2 linked regions of the Drosophila melanogaster genome follow. The gene in region 1 interacts genetically with each later gene. Each region holds a gene or a part of one and is shown on either strand. Other genes may lie near its edges.

Region 1 (4,639 bases):
ATAAGCGATCTAGCTTCAGGTCTCCACATTCTCGTCCTGCTCCTCCAGTTGGACACCCACTTCATGCTCGGCCCGCCTCCGCTGTCTGCCCGCCTTGTGCGACTGGCGATGGATGGCGAGTGAGATGCGGCGCTTGAAGGACTTGCCGCACTGCTCACAGCCGAACGGTCGCTCGCTGCTGTGGACGAGCATGTGGCGGTTGAGCTCGGATGTGCTGCCGAAGCTGCGCTTCTGGCACACCGGGCACGGGTGGGGCTTCTCCTGGCTGTGGCAGCGCTTGTGGGCAATCAGATTGCTCGAGTAGCGGAAGCGACGGCCGCAAATGTCGCAGCCGTGCGGCTTCTCGCCCGTGTGGGTGAGCATGTGCTTCTTGTAGCCCGACTTCTGTGTTAGCCTCTTGCCGCAGATGCTGCACTCGAATGGCTTGATTCCGCTGTGGATTAGAAGGTGTGTGCGCAGCGAGGACGCCTGCCGGTAGACCTTGAAGCAGGTGGGGCACCTGTTCGGATTGTTACGATCGTGCAGCGTGACATGGCCGTCGCGGGCGTTTCGCGTCTTAAAGGACTCTCCGCAGATTGTGCAAACGTAGGGCGTGGCCGTGCCATGTAGCTGCATATGGTACTTGAAGGAGTTGTTGGTGCTTAGTTGCTTGCCACAGATCTAAAGGAATGGAGGGAGAATTGATGACCTTCGGCTTTGAGTTATTTGCGAGCTGCGATGACCAACTTACTTTACACTGTAGGGAGGGATTGAGGGGTTTCCAAGGCCGGCTTCCACTGGGCAAAGTTTTCTGCGTCGCCGAAGTCTGTGCTGATTTCTCCACAATCTCGTAGACATCTTCGCCAGCTTTGGCCTGCAAAACGGGCTCCACTTGGAGGCACTCTTCAATGCAGTGGTCGTTGTCTTCTTGGCGAATTTTTGGCTGGCCATGTAGCCTCATGTGGTACTGAAAGGTCCGCTTCCTAGCCAGTTGTTTGCCGCAAATCTGCCGAAGATGGGAAACTATTTCGTGATTACTTACTTCTAATTCGGAAAGGCAACTCACGGGACATTGCAGCGCTGGCTCGGATCTTTCTAACCTGCTCCTACGTTGCTCCGGATCCGGATCGTCGACAATCTCGCAGAGATCGTCTTCGTGCTGTTCCAGTGCAATATCCAGCCTCTCCTCCTGTACAATTGGCGCTTCCAGCCGGCTCTCCGCCTCATCTGATTCTACGACCAGGAGTTGCTCCTCATCTCGTATCGTTTCTGCTGGATATTCAGTCACTTCCTGGTCATCGAGCACGAGTACAAAATCCTCCGGAATCTCGGTTGACAGCCTGGCCCTAGTATTCACCGCGCTGATCTTTTTGCTGCGGCAAAAGTCCGCATGACTCTGCCGCAGAATTCTGTCCATGCGATGGACACTCCGCTTGAATTCCAGCGAGAGCCGCAACTTGGCCACGCAGTCCGGGCAGATGTGGTGGGGCAGGAAGAGCTCCGCCTCTAGGATCTCCAGACCGCTGCAGTAGCTTAAAATGCTGGCCAGCGTCGCTGGTTTGCCGGAAATTGGATCGTCGAGCGGTTTGAAGAGCGGCAGGCAGCGCGGCGATGCTGTGTGGCACACGCGGCACAAGGCGTCCATGGGGGACGGCGGCGACATGGTCGTCATGGATTGAACTCGACAGTAGATAATACACGTTTAAATAAATAACTTAATTTAGCGTCCCGAACAGTGATGCCAAAGTCCAGCTGATGCGTTAGTGGTGGCACTCAAAATAGCTAGCCAGGCACATCAGCTTGGAAGTGACCAGAGGCACAGTGGCTTGGTGGTTGGTCAAAGGTTGTGTATTTCCATATTATTTAAAATATTTTAATTTAAAATTTTCTTAATACTGTGATTAGTCAGATTGCCGGAGGCAACATATGTACACACGCAGTTATCTGCAAAATCCCGCCAGATTTGGCTTGAAAATCGCCGATCTATACCTGCTGAGAGCCACGTGCTAAATGTACTAACGCCTGGTGCCGCCTGGCAGTGGACAGTATATAAAATCCCTAACGCCAACGCCGTGCCGGTGGGAAGTTGAAATTTTTGTTGGAATTTTTTATAAGTAAAAAGTCGCTGCCATCCGAGCAGGACTCGTGAACGGCTCTAGGACTCGATATCGGGAAGGAAGGGGGAAGCATGAGCATGAGCATGGCACCGGCCACCGTCCTCCAGTTGCTGCGCGGCCTTAGCACGCCGCGTCTTCTTACCCACATCCACCAGCACCGCGCATTGGGTAATCACTACCACCACTACCACCAACACTACCAGCACCAGCACCACCTCCTCCACCACCAGCAGCAGTACCTCCGACTATTCACTTGCACAGCACTGCCAGCGGCTGCTCCGGCGCTCTTCTCGATCCTGCACACAGCGCGTGGCTACAGCAGCACAACCAGTAAGTGATTCACGGTAGAGTCCTAAACAGTAGAGTCCTAAACATTCATCCTTGGCCACTTTCGTTTCGCAGAGCAGGAAGCTGGAGCCACTGGCCCCAATGATGCGCCCGAGGTCGCACCGAATGCCCCGCTGCTGGCCAAGCTCTTTCCTCAGACCTCGCCGGAGGTGGACAGCAACGCCGAGCAGGAGCGCAAGAAGCGCGAGGAGGAGGAGGAAAAGGAGAACGAGCGTGCCTGGAAGCGCATGAAGCTGGGGTAAGCTGACGCCCATTCAATGCGTAACAGTATTATAACAATACTTCCTGCTGCAGCTTTGCAATATTCGGAGGCAGCGCCGTGGCTGCTGGATTCTGGGCCGTCTACGAGTTCGGCAAGCCCGAGGTGGACCCCAACGGGCAGCCCATCGAGGACGAGTTCACACACAAGCCGCTGGTACAGCAGTATCTGCAGCGGATGTGGAAGAGCATTCACTACTATCAGCGCATGATCCAGGAGCCGTCGCGCGCCAAACTGCTGCCCGATCCGCTCAAGCCGCCGTACGTGCAGCCGCGCTACACGCTTGTGCTGGAGATGAAGGACGTGCTGGTGCATCCGGACTGGACTTACCAAACTGGCTGGCGCTTCAAGAAGCGTCCCGGCGTCGACCACTTTCTGGCCGAGTGCGCCAAGGACTTTGAAATTGTCGTCTTCACCGCCGAACAGGGCATGACCGTGTTCCCCATCCTGGATGCCCTCGATCCCAACGGCTACATTATGTACCGCCTGGTCAGGGATGCCACGCACTTTGTGGACGGCCATCATGTGAAGAACCTGGACAACCTTAATCGCGACCTCAAGAAGGCAAGTCATGCACAACGTATTTTCTATTGCAATCATCTATAAAGAAGGGAGTATTTTAGGTGATTGTTGTGGACTGGGATGCGAATGCCACCAAGATGCATCCGGACAACACATTCGGCTTGGCCCGCTGGCATGGCAACGACGATGATGGCCAACTGCTGGACCTTATCGCTTTCCTAAAGAGTAAGTTGCGCCACAAGTGACATTGAAAGCTAAACACTGACCCTTGCAATTCGCTACAGTAATTGCGCAGAACAACGTGGACGACGTGCGCGAGGTGCTCCACTACTATCGCCAGTTCGACGATCCCATCAACCAGTTCCGGGAGAACCAGCGCAAGCTGGCCGAACAAATGCTGGAGGCGGAACGCATCGAGCAGTCCAAGACCAAGCCAATGGTCAAACAGTGGTCGCGCAACATTCTCGGCCGCTAGGAGGCTGGCCATACCGCACAACCCGTTCCATACGCATACCTTAACCTTCCGCCTGCGCCGGAGCAACAAACACGCCCTGCAGCAGCACACTGGCCATATTTTTCGTCGACTTTTGGAGTAGTTAGTGGGAAGCAGTAGCAGACAGCAGACAGCAGGATTGGGAGGCACGCTCTGTCTTTTGCTCCTTTGGGAAAAGACGAGGCGCATGTTTTTGTTTTATTGAATAACTAAACTTGCTTGTTTTTGTTTTTTGGCAATTTAATCGTAATATTATTATTATAAAGAGACGACTTAACCGTAAAACCAAAAACAAGACATCCATGTGTTTCGTTACGAAAGTGGAGAACTTGCTGTGCGTTATCTAATCACAATTGATGGATAAGAGTGGCTAAACCTGCTGAGATAGTTATCGTGAAAACAAAATTATTTTTATGTATGTAAAAAATAAGTGTCGAATTTTCTTTCAGTTTTTTCTGGAACAAAAATCAGTTTTATTGAACTAAGTGTCTAATCCTTAGCCTAGGCTTACATTCTAGAGCCGCTCCCACGGCTTGGTGGCCGCTCACAGCACCATCACCACTTTGGAGGTGGACACCGGCTGCTCATGAACTTCGGTTATGTGAAGGTTGGTTGCCGATCCACCGGTCGCACCTCCACCGGTCGGACTTCCACCTGTCGCACCTCCGCCTGTCGCACCTTCTGCGCCCGCTTGTCGGCTGGGAGGATTGATGGACTGAACAGCAACGGTGGCCGTCACCGGCGACTCCTTGTTGTGGACGCGCATATGACTGGCCAGTCGCTTCTTTGTGGGAAAGGCCTTAACGCAGACCTCGCACTTAAACGGCTTTTCGCCGGAATGGAGGCGAACATGGGCATTGAGGTTGCTGGTAAAGGTGAAGGCATGCCCGCAAACATCACACTTGTGCGCCTTGACGCCAC
Region 2 (3,972 bases), on another chromosome or scaffold:
TTTGTTGTACATTTGTGTATTTGTGATTTTGTTGTACTTGTTTCTTATGCAGCCCCATGTACTGCGCTGTATGTAATTATGCATATATGCCTTGCACATACATACATATATATGGCTCTGCTGTATCCGTGTGGGTGTGTGTATTTGGTGTGTGTGAGTGTGGTTTCGATTGTGATTGCTTCCCGACCAACGTCGATCGCTCACAGCTGTTCAAGTGAACTGACTGCAAGTTGATTTGAGTTGAGTCCACAGCACGTAGATACAGATACATGCACCCATACCAGCGTCACATACACGAGCTGTCGCTGTGTGCGTGCCAGAGACCGAAAGAGCGCAGGTTTTTGCGAGAGTTTCCTGACTCGACGAGTCAGGAGCGGACTTGCGGTTAGTTCAGTTGCATTGGCATAAAAGTGCCTTACGCCTTCCTTATTTTCCATAAAAGAGTTATTTCAATCAGCATAGAATTCTTTATTTGATTCGGTGCCCCTTTAAGTCATCAATTCTTCACAGCGCCCTTCTGGCTGGCGCCACCCGCACTGCGCCCCTTGGTTTGATATCAACTGTTGCAGTAGCGCAACAGTGTTGGTGTGCTGTGTGCGGGGAGGGGTGTGTACATGTACGCTTATGAATCAGCTGTTCCACTGTGTATTAATCATATGGCTGTTTGATTAATCTGTACGTTTGCTTGTGTGTTGTATGCATGTATATATACGAGAATAAATACACATTACGTATAAGCGTGCAATATACATATGTGCGCATGAATATGAATCTGGCTTCTGTTTATTTCAGACGATTCCGAACGGTCTTGAGAGCGGAAAATCTGAATATTATACGTAAATATCAGATATTATATGTATGCCAGTACATACATCCTCAGAAAACATATGCATGCAGGCACTATGCTGCCATATACGAGATCTCGAATAATATGCATAAATGGCATGCAGTTAACGTAGAACACTCGAATATTATGCGAAAATATAGAGATAACTATATATATTAACAGATACAAATTCGATGTACATATGTACACATAGTATTTATCTACAGAATGACGCAGCGGAACATGCACTTGCATTTTCATACAGTGTCAGGTATAAATATCGGGTAAAGAACCATGTACATGCAGTGTACATACGAGTATGCATGATTTAATTGTACTCGGACACACGGAAGTAATCGAGTTGATCGCTGCGACCGCAATATTTCATCCTAAGTTTTAAGGCTGCGATATATTTATTTACATTTTATTCTTAATTTATTTCTTTTAAAATAAGCAAATCTCCCAACATACATAATTCTAACAATTGGAGTACTATAACTAGATCTGTCTTCGTCTTCATAAACCAGAATCATGAACGATGACTCATCAATCATATGATCAATTTTTAAAGTGACTTCCTAGGAGCTTATGATCCATAAATTTGTATATCGGTGTTACATCCAGCTTAAATAAAAGTATACATTTATCACGGTTACTTAATATTGCTATTAAATCGCAATAATACCTAAAAATGTTCACTCACGGAGAAAAATCAGATTATCAACAATAAACTCATTTTCAATCTGTAAATAGAAAAATATTTAAATAACCTCTTATTTTAATAAATCTGGAAAGCCCTTTTAAAAGTTTCAACAATTTGAAACTTGAAATTGAAATTGCCTATCGATAGTTTGCAGTTGCCCGTTTTGAATGGGACGATTTTGTGGGGTGCTTAAGTGAATGGTCACAAAAACAACAATACCCAAGGTGATTCAACGTCTGTTATCGATAAATTTTCAGCTCTAGTGAAAAAGTATGGAACTATTCTGGTATAAAACGTGTAAAACTCTGAATATTATTGTGCCTGGACTCTATATCTCGCTATATACGCTACAAACGAAAGCAGAACTAGCCTACAACTGAAAAACAGTAAAGTGCAAAGGATCGGATGCACGACATACGTAACATTTCACCATATATGTGCGTTATTTCACTCCATATTACATTAGTTAATCGCAGTAACCATGGATAAGTGTGTTTCAAATTAAGCTGGCCACCATGCCCCCCAAAGCCAAGTTCAAGAAAATGGCCATTCGCAAGGGATTCCCACCACACCAAACGCATACTTGTGTCTTTAAGTTCAGATGTCGAAATTTCACACCCTTATGGGCGCACTGTTTGACCCCTTCCTCTTTGTTCTCCGCCTGATTGCAAACATGAGTTCCCCTATCTACGAGCAATATCGGTTCGGGCCGTCACGTCCCCTCTCCGCTGGATCACGTACACTGTGGAAGCCAAACAAGGTGCATCAGGAGGCACCCGAGGTCAAACCGCTCGAAGTCCCCGAGGATTTGCGGATCCCAACCCTGCAGCCAGACCCCCTGAATCCGCTGGCCACCATGATGTCTTTCAAGCTAATGGCTATGGACGTAGTAACTCAAATGCAGACCGCCCTGCACAAGTGCGTCAACGCCCAGAGTCCGCCGGGCGCCAAGATGGCGGGAATCGAGTTGGACGCCTTGCGGCGTTGCGTACCGTCCTCGTGCTACTTCTTTATTGACCTGCATCCGCACCACGGCTTTAAGGATACCGCGGAGGATTGCCCTACTAGTCAAGCCTCCAGTGACCGGAATAACAACGCTGGCTGTTCGCAAGGATCGGCTGCCAAGAGCTCCTGGCAGCGGCAGCGTAGTATTTCCGAGTGCAGTGAGGACAGCTTCATTTGCTTTGAGGACGACGCAGAGCAGGCGGATGAGGATGTCGAGGAAGACGAGGATGATGATGACGACGACAGCAGCGTGCAGTTTACAGCATGCGGTGAGGATGAAAATACCGAGGAGCTAAAGGCCTGCCAGTGCAGCGACGACAGCTCGACTCCTGTCAAGAAGGTGAAGAATATTTTTGCGCGGCATAAGTGGGCATATCTAATTTCCTATTTATGCGCACAGGTTCGTTTCAACATGAAACCCGAAGTTCACGTAATGCTCGCCTGGGACTACGCTTATCGGGCTGCCAGAAAGAGCGAATGGCAGGTAATGGCGCGAGATCGGGATCGCTTTCAGCAGCGGATTCGGCGGATTTCACCCATTCTCAATGCCGTCCTGACTCCAGTTCACCGAGATCGTGTCTACCAAGCTCGATTCTTGCACGAGGACTAGCTGGTCCGCATACCTGAAGTAACTTTTGATGTACAGATTACAGTTTAGAACGATTACAGCATTAAATTCCAAGTTGTTTGCGTGTATAAAGTGATCGATTTAGCCACTGCGTTCGTGATTGATTTTATGAAGCCAAAAACTGTTTAACCTGTAAAGTATATCAAAACCACGTACACTTTTCTTCGCCTTTAGTTTTAGAGCCCTAAGAAGTTTGAATTTGTTGATAACGGGATTAGCATATACCTTAATATAACTTGAAATAAATTAAGCAATAGACGTATTTTACTGTGTGTTCTTCTTTTCACATAAGATTGCTTGCATTGTGTTCCAAATTCCCAAGCCAAACAAGTTTGGGTAAAGACTTTGTGTGTACGTGGGTGAGAGATAAGCTCTGAATAGAAACAGATAAGACGGCAGTTTGAAAAAATAGGTACGTTTAACATGGAGCAGTAAATTTCATAAATGTTATCGCGTTAATTCATTATTTATTTCATGATTCCTTCAGTCGTTTGCAACTTGGTTTTGGATCTCCGAAACTTATTTGGCCAATTGGTAAACTCCACCCGAGAATATTAGCTTGTGCTCCCTGACTTTTCGCTGGAGAAAGTGTTTCAGCTCATCCTGAGTAAACTCCACTCCGCCGCTGTGGGAGGCGAACAGCTTCAGCATCTGGTGGATTCGGTCAATTGGCATGGAGTCAAGATTCGTGAGCATTCCAACAATATAGGACCAAAAAACCTGCGGCATAATTGTATAAGAAAAAGCCGGAATTAGGAACAGTTGAAGGCACTTACTTGGAGTTCTTCTTCCCTTTGATCGCTGGCAGAA

Evidence for each region. Genes that interact genetically often act in the same process or in processes that back each other up.
Region 2: of ttm50 (region 1) and PPP1R15, changing one suppresses a phenotype caused by changing the other (phenotypic suppression), as found in Drosophila melanogaster (one study listed by BioGRID).

Annotation. Positions count from the first base shown.
Region 1 is NC_004354.4:2,729,577-2,734,215, reverse strand, and holds ttm50 (tiny tim 50), read left to right. Parts: upstream 1-2,025; 5' UTR 2,026-2,167; coding exon 2,168-2,426; intron 2,427-2,498; coding exon 2,499-2,682; intron 2,683-2,738; coding exon 2,739-3,267; intron 3,268-3,326; coding exon 3,327-3,450; intron 3,451-3,509; coding exon 3,510-3,700; 3' UTR 3,701-4,139; downstream 4,140-4,639. Other genes in the region: CG2712 (uncharacterized protein), read right to left, coding at 16-660, 731-985, 1,046-1,651; dwg (deformed wings), read right to left, coding at 4,263-4,639. UniProt on the Drosophila melanogaster protein: Essential component of the TIM23 complex, a complex that mediates the translocation of transit peptide-containing proteins across the mitochondrial inner membrane.
Region 2 is NT_033778.4:23,975,050-23,979,021, reverse strand, and holds PPP1R15 (protein phosphatase 1 regulatory subunit 15), read left to right. Parts: upstream 1-1,766; 5' UTR 1,767-2,130; coding exon 2,131-2,874; intron 2,875-2,934; coding exon 2,935-3,144; 3' UTR 3,145-3,423; downstream 3,424-3,972. Other genes in the region: mr (morula), read right to left, coding at 3,682-3,882, 3,939-3,972.